Linked DNA regions of Canis lupus familiaris. The protein of the gene in region 2 interacts with the protein of the main gene of each other region in a pairwise test. Links are inferred from orthologs where the notes say so. Each region holds a gene or a part of one and is shown on either strand. Other genes may lie near its edges.

Region 1 (5,517 bases), on a different chromosome or scaffold from region 2:
TCCAGGCTGTGGGGCACTTGAAGCTGAGGATCTCCAAGGGGGTGGGAAGTGAGGGAGGGCCCAGAGCTTACAACAGATTTTTATGACTCATACATTCATTAAGAACCCTGGGAGAAGGGAAGAACTTTGAGCCTGACAGTTTTGACAGAGGAGTCCTCAACCCTAGTCTAATAACCCTCCTAAGCCTCTCATAAAGGTAGCCAAAGCAGATGAAATGAATTATGCAGAAACTGTAAAATGTTGTAAAATTTATTATTATAAAAAAACAAGGCTATGCATGATAGAGCAAAATACTCAGACAATCCTTGGCAAATGAGATAAAATTTCCTGCCTGACTTGTCTCATACAAGAAATGGATGAGCTCATCATCAGGGAATGGTTCCAAATCAGAAAATGCAGAACTGTACCTTCTCCAGGAAGAGCTTAGGGTATAGCTGAAGGTCAGAAGATCATTCAAGAAGACTGCTTATCCCTCACATAGGAAGTCTTCAGCTGACTTGGGCTGAATCTAAACTAAAGTGAAATATTCCAAAGTCCCTTACAGTCCACTGTGTAGCCCAAAGGAAGAACAATATACAGTTCACTATTCCAAGACTATCATGACAAAATGAATCATGCACAAGCACTTGGAGATGCCTTCCAAATAATGCAGAAAGGTGTAAGTAAGAATTCTGGTTTAAGGAGAATAGGTGTGCTTTCCCTCTTTAAGCACGCTTACGGTGACAAAATAGTTTGAAAGGGCCTTGAATGTGAGATGAAAAATTCTTTCTTGCTAGACAGTTAAGCTGAACTGACTCCAGGGCTATGAAGGGGTCAGGGTGCACCAAGAAAGGGCAGGGGCAGAAAGACTTGCAAAAGCCTCACCCAGTCGGTTGATCAGGACAGACACAATCTGCTCCCCCTCCCAGGTTGATAATCTACCAGGCTGCAAAGTTTTACTATGAGGAAAAGACCCACCCAAGCTATCTGCCTGGAGTGGAGTAAGTGATCCACCTGAGGACTGAAGACTGTTGTCTGAACTTGGGTGGCTTTTAGAGCTATATCCAAAGAAGGGGGGCAGATCTGAAGCTTCTAAGTCTCAAAATAAAAGCCCCAGGGGCCTTTCTACCTCAAAAAGAAACCAGGAACCAGCTACCTAATAACCACGTTGTCATGCATGTATAATGCTCCACTATTCAATGTCCTAGCCTTAAAAGAAAAAGAAAAAGCTGTCTTCAAGAATAGCAAGGAAGAGGTCACTGACTGCACACCATTCTAAAGTCTATCTAGGGGAGTACTGGATTGCTGTAAGAAGAAGAGTGCACCTTGGGGTTGTAATGGGGTGACAGATGCTTGAGGAAGGCCACACCTGAGCAGAGCTAACTCCTTAAGCAGCTCCCTACCTAGAACAGAAAGAACTTGGGAGCTCCATAAACACCCAAAGCACTGTCTCTGTGATTCCTGGGTGTGAAGAGCCCATTTCCATCTCCCCAGCTCCTCCTTTTTTTTTTTTTTTTTTTTTTAATTTTTATTTATTTATGATAGTCACAGAGAGAGAGAGAGAGGGAGAGAGGCAGAGACATAGGCAGAGGGAGAAGCAGGCTCCATGCACTGGGAGCCTGATGTGGGATTCGATCCTGGGTCTCCAGGATCGCGCCCTGGGCCAAAGGCAGGCGCCAAACCGCTGCGCCACCCAGGGATCCCTCCCCAGCTCCTCCTAATCCTTCCAGAATCTGAAGTGCCACAAACTTTACTACATGATAGGTGCCAGGCATTGTGCATAGTCCTGGGAATACAAAGGAAAATAAGACAAAGCCCCTGCTCTCAGACAAGTCTAGCAGACAGGGTATCACACAGGGCACCCCCTCTCTAGGCCCATCTCTTTTTTCCCCTGGTGCCAGGAATCACCTCTAGTCAGCACACACTTATTATGATAACTATTTATAAATCAGTCTCCCACGCACCCCACTTTTCAATGATGTCTGAGAGGGCAGAGAACATCTTAGCCAACTTGGTTTCTCTAGCACCTAGCACAGTGCTCCAAAACGTAGAATGAACATAGTAAGGGAGGAGGATAATAATACTCTTAACTTTCCAGAAAGAGTCTATGAAACTGCAGAAAGTGGACAATCCACAAGAAGCAAAGGAAAGTGAGAAGAACAAATGCATGCTGAATCCATCTTTTCTTTGCCTCCTCCTTCCTGTGGCTGCTGTTCACTTGGCTTTGACATAACCCCTCCTCACTAGAGGGCTCTAGCGACTGCACCAGACCCTAGTCCCAGCCCCAGGGACCATCCTTCACACCCAAATAGGCCCCATCCTCCAAAAGGACTTTGGTCCTTTCCTATTTTCCAATAATTTGAGCAGGCCCCCAACACAATGGGTTGCCTTGTGAAGCCGATTCTACTGTTCCTGGCTGGCTGACAAGTGGTGGGTGGAAGCAAGTAGGACAGGTCGTCTTAAAACTGCTATGGTTTTTCCCAGCGCAATTGAAATAAAATCCAAACTCCTTCCTAAGACTTGTGGGTCCTGTGTGGTCTGGTGCCAACCCCTCCCCAAACTGAACTTGGGATTTTAAGTCTCTGGCTCTGCTTTCTCTTCCAGCTCTTTCCCGCTCCCGGGGGCCCGAAAGCGCCGTGTCCTCAACACCTGACTTCCCATAGCATGCCATCCCTTTTCTCAGAGCTTTTCTCACAATGTATACTTGGTTTTTGCTACTTTCTCTCCCTCACTACTAGGAGTCTGAGAGAAGGGACTGTGTCAGCAACCCAGCTGGGTGTCCCACACAGTATCTAATGCATATTTGCTGAGTTAATAAAAAGGCGGCCCTCCATCCCCACCCAGCAGCTCCTCCACTAACCCTTTTTCCTGATGGTTCCCACACCAAGTCACCCCCATCTCCTCATCCGTAAGTCCCACTGCCCACAACTCACTCTCCATCATCTCTCTCAAAACTTCCCACCTCAGAAGTCTCACTAATGCATCCATTTAGCTGTCCATCCTTCACAAATCCCATCTCTCAGCCCTTACACCTTCCTTCTTTCCTCTTAACCCTTACATTTCATAAGCCTCAAACTGCCTTTCACCATATACCTCCCCATCCACAAACTCCCCTTAAACCCATCCCTCTCACCCCAGGATGGGCCCCTAAAACCCATCACCCGCTGCTTAGCCCCATAAGCCTTTCAATCTGTCGCAGTTTAACCTCATAAATCCCTTCGGCCTCAGAACCCGGCCCCCCTCAGCTTCCCCGAGCCCCCACATCTCCCCTCTCACGCTCTCACCCTGCACCCTCCTCACCCCTCAGCCTCCAGTCAACTTGGCCTTGGCCCCTGGGCCCGCCCCCTTCTCTGCCGCCACTCTGGGTGGCCCCGGCCCCCGCCCCCGTCGAGCCCGCGCAGCACCTGGCCTGCGCCTCCTCCAGGCTCTGGTCGGTGATGGCCATGATCTGCTGCAGGACCTCGCCTGTGTCGGGGCCCGGCGGGGGCCCGGGCGGCGGGCGGCGCGGGGCCGGGGGAGGCGGCGCGGGGCGCTGCGGGCGCGGAGGGGACTCCATGGGCGGCGGGGCCGGGCCGGCGCTGACACGGTGCCGCCGGGCCTGGAGCGCTCACAGGTCGCCGCAGCCAACCACCGCCCCCCGCGCGCTGTGCGCGCGCGCGCCCAGACCCCACCCCTCGCCGCTGCCTCCCGCCAACCGCCGCCAGCCAGGCCGCCGCGCCCCGCCCACGGACACGCCCCGCCGCCTCCGCCAGCCAACTGCCGCCGCCCGGGCCGCCGCGCCCCGCCCACAGACGCGCCCTCAACAGCTCCCTTCAGCGGCCCAGGACTCGGCTGGGAGTTGCCGAGGCAACGGCTCTTCGCACCCACACCCTCCTCCTTCCACCCCTCAGCTCTCCGCCTTCCTCACCAGCTCAGAGCAAGGACTCCCGCTTAGGGACCTTAATCCTTCCTGGGGCCCTCACGTCTCCTCAGAGCCCCTGCCCCTCCTCGGAGAGGTCCCGCATTTTCTCAGAGACCCTCAAGTCTGAGTCCACCGCCCCCGCCGACATCGCCGCAGAGCCCTTACTCCCCTGCAGAGCTCCCACTCCTCACAGGTCTCCACTCAGATGCCCCCACTTCCTCAGGAACCCACATCTCTTCCCAGTCCCCACTTTTCAGAGAACCCCACTCCTCCTTCAAACCACCCCTTCCTTCTCAGAAATCCTGAGATTTCTCAGATCCCCACCAAAACCCACCATCTTCAGAAGCCCTGAGACCCAGGCCCCCCCTCAGTACCCTAAGGGTCCCCTCAGTCTCCGCCCCATCAGGTGGGTCCCTAGGGCTCCCGACCTCCTGGCTCTACCCCCCTCTCCCCGGAGCTTTTGACGAGGGGTGCAGTTGTGTGTGGTGATGGTGGCTGGAAGATTTGCACGGAGAGATTTTTCTCTGCTACACAAATCAATTCTCTTTTCAAGGTCCAGCTTATAAATGACCTCTGGTTTATCCATTCTCTCCATCAACTGCAATCTGACCCTAGAACACCCAAGCAGACTTATTGAACTACTGAAGGATGCTTCCTGAGGGTCTCCTCTGAGGTGTACCCCAAGTAACAGTGAATCTCCACAAGTCTTGGTTTCTAGCCATTAGTGCTCACTGCATCAGAGAAGGATCGTCGAGTGAGAGAAAAGGAACCGACTGGACACGAATCACTTCTCCAAAGTCACTGGGACCTGGTGGAGCCTCTGCTCTGAGGACAGATTCCAGACGCAGTCTCATAAAGGTCCTCAGCCTCTCTGCGAACCCTTTGGGGTAGGGCCCACCTTCTTCCCATTGCTGCTGGAGAGGAAACTCAAACACCATCTGGTGTGATTGGATTGGAGGACTCCAAAAAAGACAGCAGGGAATGGAAATGAATGATAGAGGCTGGTGTTAGGAACCACTTCAAAAGCTCTCTGGTGGGGTTCCTGGGTGGCTCAGTGGTCAAGCGTCTACTTTTGGCTCAGGTCATGATGGGGGGTAGGCCCTGGGATCGAGTCCCACATCAGGCTCCCCACAGGGAGCTTACTTCTCCCTCTGCCTATGTCTCTGCCTCTCTCTCTCTGCATCTCTCATGAATGAATAAAATCTTAAAAAAAAAAAAAAAAAAAAAAAAAAAAAGCACTCTCTGATTAAGGAAACTCAACACTGGGTCCCAATAAGAGAAAGTACTAGAATTTGTGGGGACCATGGAGGGTTGTTGCCCTGCACAAAAGTTCAGCAGCTAGTGCAGCCCTACACAGGAAGCCTAAGTTATGGGTAATTTTGGTGTCTTTCAGAGAACAGTGGTGGAAGCAGGGGGTTGAAAGCTTTAGGGATCAAAGGTTGAAGGGAAGAGAGACCTACAAGAGAGAGAAAAACCAATGGGACAAGATGCCAAAGGAGACCAGAGGACTATGGGTTAGAACTGGGGGATGCTGATGCAAGAGCAAGTGAAACACAGCTACCTTTGGGCTCTCCACCCTATAGGAATTGGTGTTGACACCCAAAGGGACATGTTTGTCTAATAGTCCTAGAGCTCCA
Region 2 (5,523 bases):
CGAGGTTTGGGGTTCCATGTGCTTTCCTGAACTTGCCAACGGCTTTCCTCCTCTCTTGTCCAAGGATTGCCCTATTTCCCCTGGCTCGAGACCCCTGCGGCAGAGTGTCGGTGCGCTGGCCGACTCCCTGCGGTCTCCTCCAGAAAAGGAGAGGCTGGGTAGAAAACTGAGGGATCAGAGAAAAGATGTTGGAGAGTCTGTGCCACATGAGATCCCCTTTATTGTTCACAGCAGTGGTTCTTAACCTGTTTTGGGGCTGTAGAGTCCTTAGAGAATCTGATAACAGCCAGGGATTCTCTCCCTGCGCCCCACCCCCATGATGAAAAGACCATTCCTGCAATTTATCCTACGTCCTACAGATAGGTATTTGTTGAACTAGATTCCCACAGGATTTTGCTTCCGCACTTAATCAAGCTCCCCACCTCACCAGCGTCTCTATTCTTCAAGCTCAGACTAGGTTTCTCCTCCTCAGGGGAGCCTACACTCATCGTCTTTGGCCTTAGCAGCTATTGCCAATGTCAGCTTCTTCCACCTGAATCCAGGTACAGAGGTCCTCCTTTCCCTTTTATTATTTTTTTCCCCTGCTGGGATAGCTGGCAAAAGTTAATAAAAGGACAGGGAGGACAGGGCACCTGGTGGCTCAGTCAGGAGCGAGCATGTGGCTCTTGGACTCAGGGTTGTGAGTTTGAGCCCCACGTGAGATTACTTAAATAAATAAACTTTAGGGGCCCCTGAGTGGCTCAGCGGTTGAGCGCCTGTCTTTGTTTGGCTCAGGTAGTGATCCTGGGGTCCTGGGATCGAGTCCCGCATCGGGCTCTCTGCAGGGAGTCTGCTTCTCCCTCTGCCTATCTCTGCCTCTCCGTGTCTCTCATGAGTAAATAAATACAATCTTTTAAAAATAATAAACAAACAAACCTTAAAAATAAGAGCTAATAAAAGGACAAGTGGAAGTTTAAGGGGTAGGGGCTGCTGGGGTCTGCTGGAGCCAGGTCTGTGGCTGGTCTCTGCTACACTAGCTGTGTCTCTGGACAAGGCAAGCTGAACGAACCTTCCCCAACCTCGGTTTCCTCCTCTGAAAACGGGGACTAAAAATCCCACCCGAGTTGTCCAGAGAATCGGACCTAAGGTGTGCAAAGCACTGTTCCTAGCACTTAAATGTGAGCTCTTCTTACTCTGATCACTCATAAAAGACAAGTTGCTTCCCAGCGCCTCCCCAAGTCTCCGAGTACTGTCCATGGTAAGGGGTTTGCCGGTGGCTCCCCGGGCAGTCCCGAGAGCCGTCCCTTCCCGTTCCAGCGGCGCGCCGAGCCCCCCCGCTTCTCTGGGCGGGGCGCTGCCTCCTCCCCAGAACCCTCCTTCCTGCGCCCCAGGTGGCGGCGGCCGCGCGGCACCGCAGTGACCTGTTTCTCTCCGCCAGCCCCCAACACGCACCTTCATCCACTGGCCCGGCTTCGCAGCTCCGTCCACCAGCCCCTCCGGTCACGCCCTCCTCGGGAGCTGCTCAGCGGCGCCGCCCGCGGGTCCGACCCCGCGGCCGGCAGCAGGTCCGCGCAGGCGGGGCTCCCCGCGGGTCCCCAGCCCACGTGCTCCCGACCTCTGCCGCAAGGCGCCGCCCTCCCGCTGGGCGCAGCGCGGACTACATTTCCCAGAGCACTCAGCGGCGGGGCCTTGGCCCAGCGGGGGCCTCGAGCGGCGCGCCGGTCCGCCGCCTGCGCGGGGGCGCGCGGGCTGGCGCGGGGACGGGACCAGGGACCCGGAATGAGTTTCCGCGCAGTTCCGCTGTGCCGGGCCGGGCTGGGCTGTGCCGGGCCGGGCCGGGCCAGGGCAGGCGCGGGGGGAGGGCGGCGCCTGAGGCGGCGGTGCGGGGGACAGGCGCCGGGGGCAGCCCGCGCCTCGCTGAGGTCCCCGCCCCGTCCCGGCCGGGCCGGCTCGCCTGTCAGTCACTGGGGCGGCGGCGGCGGCGGCGGCGGTAGCGGGGCCGGAGCCGGGCGGAGGGGAGAGCGCGGGCCGGGCCGGGCGGAGGGGACCTGCCACCGCCCCTCAACTCTACGGACTCTTCGCCGCAGACTCGCGGGGCTGCAGCCCTGCGCCCCGTCGGACGCCTCCGTAACCCGCGGAGGGCTCGCTCCGCCGTCACCCCCGCCCCGTGACCTCCTCGCAGGACCCGGCAGCGCGCTCACACGAGGGTGTTGTGGGTACAGGCCGTCGACCCTGTGACCGGCCCGGGGCCCGGGGCTCGCCCCCCACCCCGGCCTGCCTTCCCAGGGACTCCTGCCTCGTAGATTGTGGGCACAGACCCGTGACCTGCCGCCGACACCCCGCCTGCGGACTCTTCACTGCCGGCCCCTCCCCCAGGCCCCCTCGGTTGGCCTCCCCCTGCGAACACCCCTTTGGGCGTCTGGCAAGCCCCCCATCCCCGCCCGAGGTGGGGCGGCCTCGGCAGCCATGCCCGCCCTGGGCCCCCTGGCACCCCGCCGCTTCCTGGGCACCCAAGCCGGGGTCTAGCAGGGGGCCAGCAGCCAAGGGGCTGGGGCCGGAGGCAGGTCGGGATCCAGCTCCCTGCCGGGGAGGGAGCAAAGATGGAGCGGCGGGAGGAGCAGCCGGGGGCTGCAGGGGCTGGAGCAGCACCAGCCTTGGACTTCACTGTGGAGAACGTGGAGAAGGTACGAGGGCCCGGGGGTGGGCCGTCTGGTGACAGAGCAGAAGTCCTGGGGCCCGGCTCGGATGCCAGAGCCAGGCTTGGGCCGGCTGCCTGCTGGGCTGGTGCCCCAGGGCACCTGGCACTTGCTGCCTCTCTGGGCAGGGCGGACAGCAGTGTGGTGGCCTCCGAATGGGCTATTTTTGGCTTTCCTTAGATATGGGTTCCCTGTGGCTACTCTAGGGTCTTGGGATGGTCCCTCCAGGGTGCGGGTAGCCCAGACCTACAGCCAGCCTGGCTGTCCTCCAGCTCCATGGGAACTGCATGAGCAGCGCAGTAGGAACCCGGGAGACCTACAGCTCAGTCCCCGGGAACCATACAGATGCTGAGCCATCCTGGACCTGTGTTGTGACCCAGCGGCTCAGGAGATAACCCGAGACTGAAACAGCCTGGGCTGTTTTCCCTTTTTCTTGGGGAAGGGTCCTTCTTGTGTTGGATGGAGGCCAGACCAGTCCTGGGCAGGCAGGAAGGGCTGGCCCCCTTTGTTTTGTGCTGGGTCCAGGGGGTTCAGTCCTGCTGGCAGCTTCAGGGTCCCTTCCCTGCTCTCCTGCCCACACAGCCTCCTGTCATGGCCTCCCCAGGCTCTCCCACTGCCCAGGCCGTCTTCTTTGAACTGTTTCTCTGGCTCTTTACTGTGTTCTGCCCCAGGGGGGCCTGGGATGCAGAAATGCCTCCCTGCTGGGATGAATGGGAAGATTGGGGTACCACGCAGGAAAGCAAGGAATGGTTGCAGATACTCATTTGTTATTCTTGAGCCCTTTTTGCCATACCACATGATGGGAATGCATCCCTTCTGCCTTGCTCTGCCTGCCTCAGCATCCCCGAGGGGCCAGACAAGGGACAGTAGCTGTAACTTGCCATCAGAGGTATGGATATGGCTAAGCCTACATAGATGGATCCTGCTTAGGGAGTCAGAGTCCTGACCTGGCTGTTCCACCCCCTGGGACTGGGCGGTGTTGGCATGGTGGCGCTCTCTTCCGTGTGCTACCAGGGAGACAAACCACTGTGTTCTTGCTGTGTGAAGTCCCTGTGGAATTGGGACCCTGGAGATTTGGCTAGTTGAGAGCTCCAGACAAGACATTTGCCAGGGCTCTCGGCCAAGACTTCTTCACTAGCTTTTCGGACCCTCACGTGTGCTCTCTGAGGGGTGTCCTCACCCTCCCTTCCAGTACGTCTCTGGCCTACGGCCGCCTGGCAAAGTCTTAGTCCTGCTCAGATTTCACACTGGCTTTGGTGCCAGCATCTGGAGTGACCTAGAGATGATGGGAAGCTGAATAGGACTCTTGGAGTTGATGGGAGCAGCTGTGCCTGGGAGGGTCACAGCCCCTCAGGCTGTTCCATGCTCTTTTCAGGCTTAGCTTCATCCCTTTGGAGCCATTCCTTCAACCTGGGCCTTATCCTTTACCTCAGGTGCCTCCCCTTTGGAGAGCTCAGCCTCCGCTTTTTCTGCTTTTTTATGGAGGTTCACTCTCTGGCCCATAGTGTTTTGCTATAAGAAGAAGAGAATATGGCAGAGCGTGGGCAGAGTTCAGGCTCTCAAGATGTCAGTAGGACCCTGGGCCCTTCCTGCTGAGCCCCTCGGTCAGAAACAAAGAGCAGACTTGCAGGACCAAGTCATGCCCTCTGTTCTGGGCTCTGGCAGGACCCAGAGTGGTCAGCACTTGCTCAGTCCTGTGCTGTCCTGCAGGCGCTGCACCAGCTCTACTATGATCCCAACATTGAGAACAAGAACCTGGCTCAGAAGTGGCTGATGCAGGCCCAGGTCTCCCCACAGGCCTGGCACTTCAGCTGGCAGCTACTGCAGCCCGACAAGGTGCCTGAGATCCAGTACTTTGGGGCCAGTGCCCTACACATCAAGATCTCTCGCTACTGGAGTGACATTCCCACTGACCAGTATGAAAGTCTAAAGGCACAGCTCTTCACCCAGATCACCCACTTTGCTAGTGGCTCCAAGATTGTGCTGACTCGGCTGTGTGTGGCGCTGGCCTCCCTGGCTCTCAGTATGATGCCTGACGCTTGGCCATGTGCTGTCGCAGATATGGTACGGCTCTTCCAGGCTGAGGACTCACCGGTGGATGGCCAGGGCCGCTGCCTGGCCCTACTGGAGCTGCTGACAGTGCTGCCAGAGGAGTTCCAGACAAGCCGTCTGCCCCAGTACCGCAAAGGCCTGGTGCGGGCCAGCCTGGCAGTGGAGTGTGGGGCTGTCTTCCCATTGCTAGAGCAGTTGCTACAGCAGCCCAGCTCACCCAGCTGTGTGCGTCAGAAGGTGCTCAAGTGCTTTTCCAGCTGGGTGCAGCTGGAGGTACCACTGCAGGACTGTGAGGCGCTCATTCAGGCTGCCTTTGCTGCTCTGCAGGACTCGGAGCTCTTCGACAGCAGTGTGGAGGCCATTGTCAATGCCATCTCGCAACCTGATGCCCAGAGGTGAGCTGGTCCCCATCTTCCCAGAGAAGGACAGCTTGTTTGGCCATCCATCCATCCATCCATCCATTCAATAAACACTAATTGAGTGCCTACTGCATATGCGGTCCTATGCTGGAGATACACAAGGAGGCAAACAAGACACGGTCCTTATGGTTCAAATAGGGAGACAGACAACTAACCATCCAACGAATTATTCATTACAGTATTTGACTCTTTCTTCTTTTTCTCTCAACCAATCAGTCGCCAAGTCCTGGCTGTTCTGCTCTTGACCATATTGCAAATCTATTTTTTCCATCTCCACTGCCACCACCCTAGTCCAAGCTGTCATCATCTCTCTCCCCAAATTACTGCAGAGCTTTTTCACTAGTCCCCTGGTTTTTACTCTTGTACCCTTTATTGTA
Region 3 (5,579 bases), on a different chromosome or scaffold from region 2:
CTGAGGGTCACTCTTCCACCAGAGCTGCTCCTCCTTCACCTGACCCCAGCCCTATAGGAAAGGGCAACAGGGAAAGGGTCCAGCTACTCACTGGCTGACTGGCTGGAGACCAGTCAGGTGGGGACTGTGCTGAGCTTCTGCAGAAGCAGGCTATGATTGGGACCACTGCCCCAGGAGGTTCTGAGACCTGCAAGCCTAGGTACCCTTCAGGCCTCTGCCAGGTTGCCAGGCAAGACCTGCCTTTCCCTTTCGTTTTTGGGGGAAGGCGGCCCGCAGCTCCGAGGGCCCCCTTGGCGGGGAATCCTCCGTGCAGTCTAGGGTGTTAACATCCGCATGGGGTCTGGGCCCTGCAGGGCAGGGGAAATTCCCATGGGGCCACAGATCTTGGGGTGAGGCTGCAGTAGAGCCTGAGGGTCACTAGGATAGGCCAGGCGACAGCCGCCGAAGGCTCTAACCACCAAAGGGCACAGCAGGAGCCGCCGGAACACCCGGAACACCCGGGCCTAAAGCTGAATCCTCCTCTCCGGTGGAGAGTGGTGGGACGGAGACAAAGTCTGAGCGCCGGTCTAAAGCTTTTGGAGGGCTGCGGCAGAGCCGGCCAGGAGCGGTCCGCACGGGTCCCCTTGGGCGCGCACGCTGGGCTCACCCTCACGCGCGGCTCCGTGAGGTTGGTCCACACAGCGATCTCCTCCCGCATGCTCATGTCGGGGTAGCGGTTCCTCTGGAACGTGGCCTCCAGCTCTTGCAACTGCTGGCTTGTGAAGTGCGTGCGTTGCCGCCGTTGCTTCTTTTTCTTGGCGGGGTCCTCCGCGCCACCGCAGCCTGCGCCTCCCGCACCGCTGTCCTCCGGCCCCTTGACTTCCCCGCCGCGCTCCTTCTCTGAATCGGGCAGGACAGGCCCTAGTCACCTTGGGTTTATGCCCTTTCGCACCCCGTCCCGGCTCCACCGAAGCGCCAGCCATCAGCGCTGGCGGCCCTTCCTCCCGCCAGGAACCCTAGTTTTGTTCCCGCTGGAAAGAGCCTGTCGGGTGCCTGATCCTCACTAGTCACCTTTGGTCGGACGGCCCCGAAGAGCCAGGGAACCCGAGGCTCCGGCCTAGGTTCCCCACTGGGCAGGGCCTGCCCTTGCAGCTCGGCTCAGGCTCAAGCCCTACTGCCTATGTCGCCCGCAAATGTATGAAATTTTGAGGGCTTTTAGGCATTTAAATCTGGGGGTGTCTCTGCTCTTCTGAACTGATATCAAATCTGGCTAGCCTGAAGCCAGTGGGTCGGTGGAGCAGGAGCCAGGCGGTAACCTGCAGCCCCTCTACTTTCTTCTCCCCAGGGCTGTGTGGGAGCCACATTGGGCAGGCACAACACAGCTGTGTTCTCAGCCTTAGCTCCAGGCCTCAAGTCCAGAGGCCCAGAAAAGCCCTCAGGCGGCAGCCCAGACCCACACACTCTGTCTAGGTGACCTGGGGCTCTAGCCTCTCGCTCTCTCAGGGTACACAAAACACATTCAGTCATAGACACATTGAAACAAACAAACAAAAAAATTAAAAACAAAATACAGAAGCCCAGATAAACTCAATTCTATCCCAACACCATGGAAAGGCTCACAAACTATTAAAAATAGGCAGGTAGGAACACAGAGCAAATGCAAATTAAGAAGCAAGAAACCTCCGTGCAAACAGACCCCTAACTAAATACAGTGCTGTACGCGTATAAACTCCAGGCAGACGCGGGCATTTATTTCTCCGGGATAAAAAAAAAAACAACTTAATGTACTGTTGTAGATAGATTTTTTTTTAGCCCCTTCCTAATAATGCCCTTCTAGGGATAGTCTTTAAGTCGCAGGGAAATACAACACTATAGTTAGATAAATTACCAAACTAACACTGCTGCAAATGGATTTTGAAAAAAAAAATCCCGGAGAAACGCGCCATTTTGGATTGACTTTTAAAAATCTCCAAGAATAATGCTGCATGTGGATGTTTTAAATTCCAGAGAAATATGCCTCGCGTAGTGATTCTTTCTATATCGAAAAACACAGTTAAAAAATTTAATATATCCTCACGGAGTTGGTTTTAAAAAGCAATCGCTCGCTGTATATTTCTCCAGATTTTAAAAAGTAAAAACCAACCAAAGGCCACGCTTCAAACTTTTGAAAACAAAAGTACAGTCCAGCGTGGATTGCTTTTCTTAGCCAAGCAAACAGAACCTCTCAGAGAAAGTCACTTAGAGATGCAAAACAGAAACAAATAGAGATTAAAAACGCGTAGAGAAACACTCAGCGGTGGATTAAGAAAAAAGCACAGCGGAGGCGCCCACGACCCGGGGAACAGGGCGCCCGGCGGGACGGGGAGCGCGGGATCCGAGCGGGAGACCCGGGGGCGCGAGCGGCCGAGGATCCGCCGCGCCACCGCCCGCACCGCCCACCCGCCGGCCCCGCTCGCGGCCAGCTTGCGGGGGAGCAGCCTGAGTTCGGGGGGCAAAACGGCGGCGCGGAGGGAGACGCGCCCCAGCCGAGCCGGGCCCTGGCCGGGCGGCCTGGCGGCTCCCGGGTCCCTCCACGAGGGGGGCCTGCCCGCCAGCTGAGCCGCACCTCTTGGCCCGCTCGCCCTCGCTGCCCTCTTTTTTTTTACTTGAGGTGGTCCCCCCTTCCCCGCAGTCTGTTTCTCTGACTTTTCCCGCCACCCCTTCTCTTGGATTTCTCCCTCTCCATCCGTGCCCACCGCCTGTCGGGGTGTGTGACCCCGTCTCCCTGCGCAGCGTCTCTCGCCCGCCGCCCCGTTCCTCTCTCCACCTACTGTCCTGCGGTCTGAGCGGCCCCCTGGGCACTCGTTGCGCAAACCGAATTCTTTTTCTTCCGGCTCCGTCTGCTCCCGATCAAGAGGGGCTGTCGGGCCGACCCTCCCGTGGTCGGTGCCTGCATCTGCCGGGGTCTGGGCGCGTGGGCACCGGCTGGGAGCAGAGCACGGAATTCCGTCTCATCAAGCGCGCAGATTTCCGCGCTCCCGGTCCGACGGAGGCCGGGAGAAGAGGTCCCGGAGCTCGCGGGGCTCGGGCAACCTGAGCGTGCGGCGCGGGCGCCAGGCCCCGCTCCCCGCCCCGCGCCGGGCCGAGCCGCGCTTACCTGGCAGCTCCGTGTCGGACGACTCGCTGGCGGAGTTCTCGAGCGGCTCGCGGGGGTCGGCGGCGCGGGCCAGGTGGAAGGCCGGCCCCATGTCGTGCGGCGGCGGCGGCGGCCGGAGCCCCTCCGGCAGCCGCTCCAGGCTCATGCCCCCCTTGAAGGCGTCCATGGAGGCGGGGACCGCGGCGGGCGCTCCCGGGGCCGGGGCCGGGGCCGGGGCCGGGGCCGGGGCCGGGGCCGGGCGCGCCCGGCCGCCCTGGCTGCGACCTGCGGGGACAAGAGCACAGCGCCTAAGCGGCTGCCCCCCAGGGCTGCCCGGGCCCGCAGCGACGCCGCGCCCGCCCCATGGACCGCCCGGGGCTGCGGGGCCGGGCGGGCGGCGGCGGCAGCGGTTTCTCGCGACCGGATCCCCGGCTTCGCGCTCCGCGCTGCGCTCCCGCCGCTCGGGCCTCTGCCGCCCGCCCGGCCCCGGCTCCGGCTCCCGATCCGGGGCCGGTTTCTAAGGCTCCGTACGGCGCCGGCAGAGGCTGTCTTAAAGCGACAGCGCGCACCGCCAGGTTCCAGCAGTCCCTGCGCCAGGGGTGGTGGGTGGGGTGGGCCCGGGTGGGAGGGGGCTGGGGAGGGGGGAGGGAGGGAGGGAAGGAGGGAGGGAGGGAGGGAGGGAGCCGGCGAGCGAGGGAGCGCGGGCGGAATCCGGCCCCGAGCCGCCCGCCCTCCCCCGGCCGTGCCCTCCCCCTCCCCCTCCCGTCCCCTCCCGTCCCCCTCCCCCGCCGCAGCCACCTTCCCGCCGCCTCCCGCCCCCTCCCCCCACCCCCCGCGGCCTCGCCGCGCCGCGCCGCTCCCTCCTTCCCCGTTGACACACCGACTTCTCCCTCGGCCGCACAAAAGAAACGCATCTGGTCTCCAAGTCCCGCGCGGCTCGTGCCCACCTCCAGCCCCAGATGACTTGTTTTGCGCAGAATCAACTCCTGTCTGGGCCGCCTCGAAGTCCTCAGCCCCCGGCGAGAACAGCCCAGGACGAGAGAATGTTCCCGGGGCAGGATCGCACGGAGCGGGCGCCTCCGAGCCAGCGCCAGGGCGGGGGCAGAGCCCGGGGCCCGTTCCGGCAGCTCCCGGCGGCGTCCCCGTCGGGGGGCCGCTGGCCCCTCCTTCCTCGGCCTCTTCTCCCGGGACCTGAGCCCGGCTGAGTGACAGCAGCCTGCGTTCTAATGGGCCCCCGGATGCTGCCTCCTAATTAGCTTGGACCCTGTCGTCCAAGGCTGCTTCTCTGGCCTCCCCCTCTGCACCGCAGTCAATTTTCCGGGATTGGGATTGAACTGATGGCTTCTAATCAGACGAAACGTTTCTGTTGGCTCCAGGCCTCTGGCGAGTGCAGCAGGAGACCCCGAGAGCCCCGCCAGGCCCCACAGCCTCTTCTGCAGGGCTCTCTTCCCTTGTTTTGCACCAGTCCAGCCGAATCAGCCAGGCCCCGGCCTTGGCAGCCAGGGGGTTGGCTTCTGCCCCCTTCAGGGCAGGTTTGTAGCGATCTGGGGCCTCCTCTGGGCTTTCCAGAGCTGCAGGCACCTGGCCTCGCGAGCAGGCCAGGTGCCTGCAGTTTCCCAGCCCGGAGTCCGCAGTCCAGGAAGCCTACCGCCTTTGAGCTTCTCTCTCTCACACAGCAGTAGCTGAGCGGCAGCACCGCCGAGGCCTCCTGGGGGCAGACACCGCCCGGCCCCTCCCCACCTCTGAGAATGATCCCCTTCTGGAATCCTCCTATGACAGTGAAGTTTGTTGAAGGATTTTGCCGAACAATTGTTAACCAGCCCCGAGACCTCAGAGTCTTGAATAAATAGACGGCAGCTAGGGTGGTAGGGTGCGACCCTGACCCGTGCCTCTGGCCACAGCTAGACCCCAGGCTGCCCTCCGCCCCTCGATTGCTGACCAACTCCCCCAGATAGGAGTAGCGCTGGGCAGGACAGTAACCCGGAGGAGAAGCACTGCTCTACTCTCCAGGTGCAGCGCCTCACCACAGGGCCCAGTGCATCCTCATCTCTTCCTGGGGCGGAGGGAGTGTCTCTGCTTGGGGGTGAGGATCTGGGGTGTTCTTCAGGTACTGCCTTCTAGCCCTCACCCTGGCTCATCAGGAGACCCAGAGCCTCAGGCTGAGTTACTTGGTGTGGATGTGGGGGAGAGTGTGCAGGGTGGCAACAGGCCTGCCTCTCACTCCTCCGCGTTAGCCTGAGACCCCCCCCCCCCCAGCTCTGGGTCCTGGGAGAAAGCAGAGCTCCTTAGGGGTGACACACTCTCTCTGGGTGCCTCTGACTGCAGGGTCAGGGTCCAGGTCTGAGGCCAGAGGATGTATCTCAGGGGTTTGGGTTAGGGAGGCTCAGCAACTCCAGCCCTTTCCTTTCCTCCCAGAGGGGAATTTCTCTGCGTGGAGACACCTCCCCCCCCATGAAGATAATCTTAGATGTGTGTTGGGGGGAGG
Region 4 (3,761 bases), on a different chromosome or scaffold from region 2:
AGGCAAACCAATAGTTACTGAGCAGCACGTCACACAGCCACATCCCCAGCCCCCCACCCCCACCCCTGGAGCTGTGCCAACCAGTCTGATCATTGAAGACGCCCTCGTATATTCAGTATGATAGCCTGATGATCGGGCCCCCAACCAGTCCTTCCACACTGCCCACTGCTAGGGTGAAGTTGCCTAAAAGGACTATACGTTCAGACAACTGTCTAGCCAGATGGTTGGCACTACCCATAAAATTAATACGGTTTTTGTCCACTTTCATCTTGGACCTCTGCTGGCATCTCCAGAGAAGCTAGAGCATGAGGACTTGCATTAAAACACACCTCCTCTCCTGCAAATCCAATCTATTTGGGAATCTACTGACCCCCAAATCCTGTATCTCAAGCTTTGGGCAGAGAACTGTGGGAAGAGTTCTCTATAAAGTAGGCTCAGAGTCCCTGGGAGCCTTTCATGGTTGGACTTATGGGATTAAAGATTCTTTAAAGAGGCAGATCAGTAATGATCTCAGATTAAAATGGTCAGAAGTGTCAGTAAACATCTAGCCCTCTCCTAAAAATTAGCTGTGACTTCCTTATAGATCTAAAAGCCCAGTTTCGGTTTTTTTGGGTTTGTTTGTTTGTTTGTTTTTTATGATAGTCACAGAGAGAGAGAGAGAAAGAGAGAGAGAGAGAGGCGGAGACACAGGCAGAGGGAGAAGCAGGCTCCATGCACCGGGAGCCCGACATGGGATTCGATCCCGGGTCTCCAGGATCGCGCCCTGGGCCAAAGGCAGGCGCCAAACCGCTGCGCCACCCAGGGATCCCCCCAGTTTCGGTTTTATCCGTAAACTACCCTCTAAGTGTCTGGACTGGGGACATTAAAGAGGTTTCTAATTCACTTTCTCCTAGGTGAATAAGAGATACACAGAGCTGAGACAAAAATCCCTCAGGAGCTCACACGGAGCTATGCCAGGCCAGCAAGATTGGAGGAATTAATAGAAACCTAATGCCAGGAAGAAGGGAGATGATAGCACTACTCTGTTCTGCAAACTGCAGAAATGTTGAACTTTTCAAGATTCACCATCTCAGAAAGGGGGACACACTAGAGAAGGTTCAGAGGAAGACACCTACCCTTTGCAAAATGGTCGAAGATTTTGGTTAACAGGATGAACTGATGGACAGACAGACCAGCACCGCCCCCCAAATCCAAAATTCAGAAAGTACATTTTCTCTGAAAGGTGGAATTACTAATAACTTTTTCATTTTCTTACGTTTTATTTTTAGATAAGTTGTGTAACTTTCAAAAGTTAGCATCTGAAATAGGTGGACCCCACACCAGTCTATAGGTGGAAACGACCTTAGTAGAGCGGCAGCACCTATGTAACTGCTTCTAAGTGTTTTCTCACATACAAATTTTGTTGTCTTGGCAGAAACCAAGATGCTGCCATAATTTGCAAGACCAAACAAGACATTCAGTTGCCTTATTCTAGTCAGAGGACGACTGTGAACATCAGGTTCAAAGAGGCAAGCAGGCCTTTGGGGCCCTGCCAGTATTTCAGCTTGCATTTGTTGCTAATTCCCAAAATCATTTCCTGGAAGCAACCTGGCTTCTGGAAAATTCCAAAGCAGTTGCAGGAACACCAACCAATGGGCCTTTAATTCCTTAACATATATTAGTTGATCTATGGCCGTTAATATCCAGATGCAATAAAAATCAACATGTGAATAATTCCTCTGAAGTTGCTTCCCTAGCTGCTCCTATTTTAGTCTGAAGACTGTGAAACATCTATTTTTTGTTTCTTTGTTATCTGGAGTTTAAATTCGTCAAAAGACATTCAGTGGTGAGTAAACAGTCTGTGGAACCCCAGCACTGTTTCCAGCAGGGGCTCAGGCTGGCCAGTCTCTCACCATCCGGCACCTTCCAGGTACTGCACAAACAGGAGCCCTGGGAAAGTCACCATGGAAGGCCCTGCTTTATAGAAGGCCCACCAAAAGATCAGTTGTTTGTTTTTTTCCATCAAGAATCCATCCCCCTCCAAAGTTGTAGTCAACCCCACCTGCCTCATGCAACTTCCATCAGAAAGGGCTAGTAGCCCAGGACAGGGCCTTGCATGCAGAGGAGCTGACAAGCATTCTCCACAGAGCTGAGAATAGAGGCAGTTTGTTAGACCAAGTGAAGAACATCAACACAGCCAGGCAGCCAGGAGTGCCACAGACGCATTACATCATTTATGTAATGACGTCACAAAGACACGCTAAACTTTTAGCAAATACCTCTATCCCTTTTCTTATTGTAAGATACAGAGAGAAAACTCATTGTTCTTCCCTATTAAAGTATATCCTACGATGCAAATATAAATCTTATTTCTGATCCTTTTCTCCTTCCTCCCTAGTTTATCACATATACTCTAAATAATATCCAAAATGCATACACCAGTTATGTATTCATTAATATGAACATATTAATAAAACCCAGATTTACGTATATCAACCCCTTACTATCCAATAATGTGCCAGCATTGTTTCTGCTTTCTGGTACAAATTTCACCGGTACCCAAAACACTCCCCATCCCCACCCAACATTATGAAGCTACCATTCTCTCTGAGCAAGAGGCGGATTAACTTGGTTTTTATGGGTTTTTTCAGAGCATGCATCAGTCAATCCATCAATCCAGCTCAAAGACTGGACTGAGTGTTAAAACTTGACTGGTGAGGCCAATCACCGCAGTGAGAAAGGCTCCCGAGGGCGTATGCATGGCCAGTGAGGTCTGCAGGCCCTGACCCACTCCTCGCTTCTCCGGGGCCGTTCCACAGCCAGCCAGGGGCCTCACTTACTTGCATAGGCAGGTTATTCGCCATGGTGAAGCTGGGCATGGGCGGCAGAGCGCTGTACGTGTTTGTGAGGGCTGTGTCTGTCCGGCCCAACATGGAGCCAGAGGTGAAGGAGGAAACTGCAGGAGAAGGACAGTACAGACAATCATGCTGAAAGTCCGAGCCAGGACAAATAGGTTAGACACATTTAGTAGGAGGAGAATGAATATGCAAATTACCAGGCGTGGTGGGTTGTGGGATAGGTTGGTAGACACTGGTGCTGAAACTACTGCTGATGGGGATGTGACTGGGTGTGTTGCTAGCCTGTCTTCTCTGGTTCCTCAGTTTTTCTTCTCTTCTCCATTTGGCCCTCCGATTAGAAAACCATACCTGGAAATCAGATGGAAGGGGTTAGGCCTTTGCCTACTCCCAGCTTAACCTCCCCCCTGGCACCTCCACCCCTCCCCACCCCCAGGACCAGTCCCCCAGGGGCAGCAAATCATTTAGCAGACTGAATCTTCTACTGTTTATATAAATGAATGGTGCTCCTCGGAAGCACCTTTGTCTCCAGAAAGGGCAAATGGTAGGAGTCACAAAGCATGACACCACGTGGTCCCTGGGTACCTGTATTCTTGCTTCAGGTAGATCGATTTTGGCCGCTAGTCTTTCTCGGGCAAACACATCTGGATAATGGGTTCTCTCAAACTCTGAAAGAGTAAGTTGAGTTTTCCGTGTTGCGCCAGAACGACACAAAATGTGTCAACCAAGCCCTAGATCAAGCTGGTTCCCACCTCCCCATTTCTGTCACCTCCAACCAATCCCCTTACAAATGCTACTAGTCCAGGCATTGACTGATGCTTGAAAGAGCTATCCCACTCGAACCAAGTTAAATTTTCTTTGGAATGACATTCATTCGAGGACCCTGCAGTGGCCTGAATGAGCCAAATCATCATTTTTTTTCTTTAT

What was found.
Region 1: the proteins of IPO13 (region 2) and PBX4 interact in binary tests that used the Homo sapiens proteins (3 or more experiments, as listed by UniProt). The link is inferred for Canis lupus familiaris from reciprocal best matches to the Homo sapiens genes IPO13 and PBX4.
Region 3: the proteins of IPO13 (region 2) and PITX1 interact in binary tests that used the Homo sapiens proteins (3 or more experiments, as listed by UniProt). The link is inferred for Canis lupus familiaris from reciprocal best matches to the Homo sapiens genes IPO13 and PITX1.
Region 4: the proteins of IPO13 (region 2) and PAX6 interact in a two-hybrid assay, tested with the Homo sapiens proteins (2 studies listed by BioGRID and IntAct). The link is inferred for Canis lupus familiaris from reciprocal best matches to the Homo sapiens genes IPO13 and PAX6.

The regions. Positions count from the first base shown.
Region 1 is NC_049241.1:44,060,174-44,065,690, reverse strand, and holds the start of PBX4 (pre-B-cell leukemia transcription factor 4), read right to left. Parts: upstream 3,536-5,517; coding exon 3,384-3,535; intron 3,299-3,383; exon of another isoform or gene 3,280-3,298; intron 1,471-3,279; exon of another isoform or gene 1-1,470.
Region 2 is NC_049236.1:16,405,407-16,410,929, reverse strand, and holds the start of IPO13 (importin-13), read left to right. Parts: upstream 1-1,950; 5' UTR 1,951-2,579; coding exon 2,580-2,663; intron 2,664-4,385; coding exon 4,386-5,122; intron 5,123-5,523. UniProt on the Homo sapiens protein: Functions in nuclear protein import as nuclear transport receptor. Serves as receptor for nuclear localization signals (NLS) in cargo substrates.
Region 3 is NC_049232.1:23,086,221-23,091,799, forward strand, and holds the start of PITX1 (pituitary homeobox 1), read right to left. Parts: upstream 3,374-5,579; 5' UTR 3,282-3,373; coding exon 3,116-3,281; intron 880-3,115; coding exon 647-879; intron 1-646. UniProt on the Homo sapiens protein: Sequence-specific transcription factor that binds gene promoters and activates their transcription. May play a role in the development of anterior structures, and in particular, the brain and facies and in specifying the identity or structure of hindlimb.
Region 4 is NC_049239.1:36,061,569-36,065,329, reverse strand, and holds part of PAX6 (paired box gene 6), read right to left. Parts: intron 3,503-3,761; coding exon 3,420-3,502; intron 3,186-3,419; coding exon 3,035-3,185; intron 2,936-3,034; coding exon 2,820-2,935; intron 1-2,819. UniProt on the Homo sapiens protein: Transcription factor with important functions in the development of the eye, nose, central nervous system and pancreas. Required for the differentiation of pancreatic islet alpha cells.